2 linked regions of the Ovis aries genome follow. The protein of the gene in region 1 purifies or fractionates together with the protein of each later gene. This does not show direct contact. Links are inferred from orthologs where the notes say so. Each region holds a gene or a part of one and is shown on either strand. Other genes may lie near its edges.

The links. Proteins that work in one complex are often made in the same cells at the same time.
Region 2: the proteins of USP48 (region 1) and histone H2AX purify together in Homo sapiens (affinity purification with mass spectrometry; 3 studies listed by BioGRID). This does not show direct contact. The link is inferred for Ovis aries from reciprocal best matches to the Homo sapiens genes USP48 and H2AX.

What each region holds. Positions count from the first base shown.
Region 1 is NC_056055.1:244,805,654-244,809,299, reverse strand, and holds part of USP48 (ubiquitin carboxyl-terminal hydrolase 48), read right to left. Parts: intron 3,395-3,646; coding exon 3,270-3,394; intron 3,104-3,269; coding exon 2,981-3,103; intron 2,681-2,980; coding exon 2,619-2,680; intron 2,350-2,618; coding exon 2,239-2,349; intron 1,562-2,238; coding exon 1,431-1,561; intron 1,074-1,430; coding exon 967-1,073; intron 1-966.
Region 2 is NC_056068.1:29,402,814-29,405,999, forward strand, and holds histone H2AX, read right to left. Parts: upstream 1,825-3,186; 5' UTR 1,752-1,824; coding exon 1,320-1,751; 3' UTR 516-1,319; downstream 1-515. Other genes in the region: DPAGT1 (UDP-N-acetylglucosamine--dolichyl-phosphate N-acetylglucosaminephosphotransferase), read right to left, coding at 3,039-3,104. UniProt on the Homo sapiens protein: Variant histone H2A which replaces conventional H2A in a subset of nucleosomes. Nucleosomes wrap and compact DNA into chromatin, limiting DNA accessibility to the cellular machineries which require DNA as a template.

The DNA.
Region 1 (3,646 bases):
TGCTGGGCTGGATGAATCACAAGCTGGAATCAAGATTGCCGGGAGAAACAACCACAACCTCAGATATGCAGATGATACCACTCTAAAAGCAGAAAGCAAAGAGGAACTAAAGAGCCTCTTGATGAGAATGAAAGAGGAGAGTGAAACAGCTGGCTTAAAACTCAACATTCAGAAAACTAAGATCATGGCATCTGGTCCCATCACTTCATGGCAAACAGATGGGGAAAATGTGGAAACAGTGACAGATTTTGTTTTCTTGGGCTCCAGAATCACTGCAGATGGTGACTGCGGCCATGAAATTAAAAGACACTGGGTCCTTGGAAGAAAAGCTACGGCAAACCTAGACACTGTATTAAAAAGCAGAGACGTCACTTTGCCAACAAAGATCCATATAGTCAAAGCTATGGTTTTTCCAGTAGTTGTGTATGGATTTGAGAGTTGGACCATAAAGAAGAATTGATGTTTTTGAACTGTGGTGCTGGAGAAGACTCTTGAGAGTCCCTTGGACTACAAAGAGATCAAACCTGTCAACCCTAAAGGAAATCAATCCTGAATATTCACTGGAAGGACTGATGCTAAAACTCCAATACTTTGCCCACCTGATGATAAGAGCCGACTCATTAAAAAAGACCCTGATGCTGGGAAAGATTAAGGGCAGGAGGAGAAGGGGATGACAGAGGATGAGATGGCTGGATGGCATCACTGACTCAATGGATATGGGTTTGAGCAAATTCTGGGTGAAGGACAGGGAAGCCCGGCGTGCTGCCGTCCATGGGGCCACAAAGAGTTGAACGTGACTTAGTGACCGAACAACAGACCCACATAAATTTATGTAACTATTCCTCTTCCATTCCAGTCCAATGGCTCCACCCTTCAAAGGAACTCCAGGCAATATTCAGTGAAAATCAAACAAGTCAAAAAGCAAGCTTAATCATTACTAGTCATGGCCACAAGAGGGACTGGTACCTTCTTATTATCCACAACTTTATGGACGTAGATGGTGGCTTGAGTGTATTCACGCAGGTCCCTCTGCTGTTGACACAATAAGCCTTCTCGACATTCTGGACAGAGCTCTAAGAAAAAAGGTTTTATTTATTTATTTATTTTAAAAAAGGTAAAAGAGCAGTGGCTGAGGAATCACTACCAAAAGAAGGAAAGATCTAAAGGAACATTTCAAAGTTACCAGAGAGTATTTATCAAACTACTCCTCTTATTTTTTAATGGCTGTATTTTATCATATGCAAATAAGTAAATTTTTACTGTCAAAAAACATACAAGTACAGTCATTATATGATACTTTCCAGCTAAGGAATATAGAATGGACCACCACGAGCTCTTTAAGTAAAGAATACAATACTGACATACTCTTTCCCTCCCAGTTAAAATTGTAACTTTTAACTACATAAACCAAGAGCAATTTGAACACTTACTAGGCTCAGAAATATACTGTGTTTCTGAAGGGCTTGCATCACCTCCTTCAGTTCTCGTGATTTTAATTACATGATCCACGACAAAGAGCTTTTGTATCATTTGCCACTCACTGGGCCATATGAGAGCTATACTGTGCAAAAAAACACAACATGCTTTAAGACACAAGGACATAATCCATCTGTAAACCACAACTATCAAAACCACTATTTAATACAAAAAAATTGAGAAGGGAAAGATACACCAACACGAATGGTAGTTTTTCAAATTAAAGAATGCTATGACTTTCTTTTGTATGAAAAAAAGCAGAGAAACTAAATGTACTGGAGTCACACGAATCAACACGGCTAAACCTCAAAAACCAAAATTGAGCCAAGAAATTAGCTACAGAGGGGAACGACGTAACCTAGAGACACTGCCCTGGGTACTAGCAATTTCTAAGGAGAAAGCGGGGCTCCAGGAAGGAGAGGGGAGAAATAAGAGCAAGTAGCCTCAGGCAGCCTCCTGACTTTTACGGAGAAGCAGTCTTTCTTTTCAGTATATGTGCTGCCAAAGTGAGCACAACAAGCAGTCTTAAAAAAAAAAAGACAAGCCAACCTCTGGTTACACCAGAGGAAATAATCCCACAGCGAGCACAAGAAGCAGCCTTTAGAAAAAAAAGACAAGCCAACCTCTGGTTATACCAGAGGAAATAATCCCACAATTCAAGAAAAGATTGGTTCTTAAAATAGACTGTGTTAGACGAGATGTTTCCTAAACACATTCTATTAACCATCGGAAACAAACATTGCATGAAGAGAAGAAACTCACAGTTTAGAATCTTCTTTGGTCATGGAAGCAAATGTAAACATGAGGCCCCCGTGGGGACACAGGAGAGCGCTGTTTCCAACCGATGACACAGGACTGCACCTGGTAGGTTTCCTACTCAAATGAGCAAAGGACGATCAATATACTTCACTATGGCATGACTGAAGAGAAGATTTTTTATGATTATTTAAAAATTAGAGACATTTTTCATGGATATTAATAACTAAATGTACTTCTAAGGATTATTCATTTAAATTCTCAGGAAAAAAGATTTCAGTATAGGCTGTTATAGTAAAAGGTAAGGTACCATGATTACAATTCATGAATTAAAAATACTGTAATCAAAAATAAAAAAAAGGAAATGGGTAGCCTTTGGAATTTACCTGACAAATTTTCGCCACTCTTCTACAAAGAACTGTGACACAATGTAGAGGACATCTGTTTCCTGGAGCAGAAAAATCAGACCAAAGTATCTCTTAAATTCACTGCATTCTTAACCTAAATCCTATAGAGAAAATGTCTCCATATACTGTGGGTTTTCCCTTTCAAGTCTCATAAATAAAATGGAAATAGAGCCCTCTACCAAGCAACCACGAGCAAGAGTCGAATCCTCCAGATTAGAAAACTATACAAATTTAAGAAACAGAGACAATCTCATTATTCTGAAAGCACTGTTCACTCAGGAACTTGGCAAGGGCCTTACAAAGGTGAGATGGATTCTACCCCTTTGTGGGAATCATGATACCTCCGGCCAGTTACTAAGACACGGTCTGTTTTTGTCCTGGAACAAATTTGGAAGAGAAGTTTTCTGCTCGTTTGCAATCATCTTATGTAAGGCTTCGTTTTCTTCCCCTTCTCTTTCTAGAATCTGAAAGAGAATCAAGCAGGAAGCGATCAGCCATCCCCAGCTGCCAGCACAGGACCTGCCGCCTCCCTGCACCTCCACTCAAAGCGCAGTGCCAGTCCTCCTGGCAAATCAGTCCAGGGAGGAGACCTGTGGCTCCCCAGCTGCCAGGGCCGCGGGCGGCACGTACCTTGCATTGTGAACAGCACTCCCTGGAGCTTGGGAATTCGGGAGCCTTCGGAAAGTACTGCTGCAGTTTGCTCCAAGCCTCTTTAGAAACAAGCCTTCTTTCATTTTCTGATATGCATAATTCGCCTAGGTCAAAAAAAAAGGTGGGGGGGGGGGGAGTTTGGAAAAAATAAGTTAATATATACCCTGCCAAAATCTACTTAATACCAATTGGTAGCGCTTCTTATCCTTCTGTTCCAAAGTGCTGTAATTTTCTCTCTCTCTCCAATTTCAAAATCTCTAAATTTTAAATTTCATCTAATTCTAAAGGAGCTAGCCATTCCTTTGTCCTTAATCTAGGTCTTTCCTCCTGCCAGTGAAGGAAGCAATATAAAAGGG
Region 2 (3,186 bases), on another chromosome or scaffold:
TGCCTACATCCCAGCCCTCTGCTACCTGAGGAGTGGCTACCCCCACAGGATTGAACTGCAGGGGCAGAGACTTCCAGAGACTTGTCTCACCGAGGGGCCTTGCCTCCCCAGGAGGCAAGGAGGGGGCTTCCTCTCTAGAGAAAAAAAAAATCTTAATAAGAAGCCACAGCCTTTGAATGTAACCAGTTCTACTAATAAACCAAATTTAAAGGTGGTTTTTGTTTTTGGTGGAGCTGCAGAAAAGGAAGGACAAACTCAAAACTCTTTATTTATGCCTGATCTCTGAGGCTAGGACCCTTTCAAAGTTCTCCTGAAAAACGCCTTCTGTCAGTAGTTCCCATTTTTTGACAGAATCGAGTGTCTCCCAGGGAACGCCAAGAAAGCCATCATCTTAATAATCTACAATTTGTCGCTCCAGTTAACAGTAAAGCCTTATATCGGTTCCCCTCCCCCACTACCTTTAGGTATCTACAGAGTCGACTCTACAACCCTTTTGCAAAATGAACACAACTCACTTTTCTTTAGGAAAAAACCCTTTAATAAAATTAGTCCATCTGAAACTCCCCCCAATACCTAAAGTACTAGTTTTGGATGGGTTAGCTGCAAAATTCCAGTTCCGAAGCCAAAGGCGGCTCAGTCCAGACGGGGATTAACGGACTTGTGCTGGTATCTAGGTGCTTGGCAGGCGGAATGGACCCGACGGGAAGGGAGTGGGGAGGAGGGGCGGGCCCGGAGGCAGGGCTCCCGCAGACCCCACGCCGCCAGGACCCGCTAGTATTGGAGACGGTCACGCCGCGAAGGGTTTCTTCCAGTACGCGCACAGGCCTGCGAATGAAGATGGAGGGAACGCGGACGTGCGAGGCCCGAGATCCGGCAACAAAAGGGGTCCTGGGACGAAATGAAGCAACCGATTGACTCCGCCGGCGGCGACAATCGAGTCCTGTACTAAGCACCGAGCTGAAGCAGAGCGCACGGCCTCGGCGGCGACCGTCCGCACCGACTCACCTTCCTCCCGCACTCCCCGGCCCGGCTTTCCGGAAGGTGCCGCGGCCTCCCCGCAGCCCATCGGCATTCTGGGGCCAAGCCGGCCGAGTCACGAGCTCGCTCCCGGGGCCGAGCGGCGTTCGAACGCACGCCCTCCGCCGGGCTTCGGCGGGAGCCAGCCGCGGGGGGGAGGGGCGGGCCGGGAAGGGGCGACAGCGCGGCCGCCAGGCCGGGAGCCCGAAGTGGCCCAGCTCTTTCTGTGAGTGCTGTGGTGGCCCTTAAAAGGGCCTTTGTGGTGTAGAGGGGAGGGCTGGGCGGTGGCGGCACGGGCGCCCTCAGTACTCCTGAGAGGCCTGGGTGGCCTTCTTGCCGCCCGCTGGCGCCTTCGGCCCCACGGTGGCGCTGGTCTTCTTAGGCAGCAGCACGGCCTGGATGTTGGGCAGGACGCCTCCCTGGGCGATCGTCACGCCGCCCAGCAGCTTGTTGAGCTCCTCGTCGTTGCGGATGGCCAGCTGCAGGTGGCGGGGGATTATCCGCGTCTTCTTGTTGTCGCGAGCCGCGTTGCCCGCCAGCTCCAGGATCTCGGCGGTGAGGTACTCGAGTACCGCCGCCAGGTAGACCGGCGCGCCGGCGCCCACCCTCTCGGCGTAGTGGCCCTTCCGCAGCAGCCGGTGCACGCGGCCCACGGGAAACTGGAGGCCTGCTCGCGAAGAGCGCGACTTGGCCTTGGCGCGGGCCTTGCCGCCGGTCTTGCCGCGGCCAGACATGCTGTATGAGGTAGAGGAGCGGTGAGGACGGCTAACAAAACACAGGAACAACCACCCGCCGCAGTCTAACGCTTCCGCGCGCGACCACGGGCTGCCCTTATAAGCCCCTCAGGGCACACCCCCGCGCCTTTCTGATTGGCTCTTTTCTCGAATACCCGCCTCTGGTTGGCTGAGGTTAACTCTTCGGTGACGCGCCCCAGTTGAGGGAACGCGTCCGCCGATTGGCCGAATTTGAAAACCCTTTGCCCGGGGAACACGGGAGGAGGCGCAGAGACTACCCGACAGCCAGCCAGTCTCGGCTGTAGCCAATCCAAGTGAAGCGCGCCAGATTTAAACGCTATAGCCCGAGACCAGAACCGGAAGACAAGAAGGGTAGAATCGGAAGCCACCTCAAGAGCGTCTGGGAAGTCTGCGCAAGGCAGGCCTAAGATTTTTAAAGGAAAAGAGTCAACACCACAACTACCTCTGCCTCCCGTCCTAGGTCTGGTCACTCCCTCCTCCTACCTGGCAAAAGAAGAGTGAAAAAGGGAAGGAATGAGACCCCCACTTAAAGTCCAACCCTACCCCAGAGAACAGATAACCCCAATCTTATGGCCCTTTATGCCACCCAAGCAGCAGATTTCACATTTATTCAACATGTTCTGTCTGGTCTGTTCTTTCTGATCACTTCTTGCTAGGAGGCGCCTGATGTGCTTAAAAAAAAAGAAAGAAAGAAAAAAGGATGGGACAGAGATAGGCATCCTCTCCGAGGAAATACCTCCTTCAACCTTCCCCATCCACCCTACAATGCCCACATAGGAAATATACCTATAGGAACAAGAAGAAAAAGACAATACTTTATTGTCACCACTGGGAGCACCTGGCCCCCGGTCTGCTCTTAATCATCAGAATACTTAATTTATAGTCAAATGTCAAGTCACCTTTGAACCTGTGTCTCTATCCCCAGCCAGGGTTCTGTCCCCAAGTCCAGCATTCTCCTTGAGTGTCAGAGTTGTGGGCAATTGCATAAAAGCTACAGTACCCCAACTTAGGAGGCAGCAAAGATGGGATGGAGAGGGAGAGTGGCAAGCTGAAGAAAGCCATAGGCAAAGTCCAATCACCAGTCATTAGAGAGTGAGACAGGCCCACGTGTCAATAATCACAGGGGAAAGGAAATGCTGAGAACAAAATCTGGAGGAAAATGAAGGGTGGGAGAGGCCTGGGCTAGTTGGCAGTCTTGGTCCAGGAGATGTTGGCCTGAGTCAGTAACCCCGGAGGCTGTGAAGCAAAGGGCAATGGATCGGGGCCTCAGACATCATAGAAGAGTCGGACAAGCTGGTACCGAATGGAGAAGGTGACAGCACTACCAACGACCTGCAAGGAGAAACGAACTATAGTAAGAACCCTGGAGAGAGGGAGACAAGGAAGTGTAAACCACACCCCCAATAGCATTGCA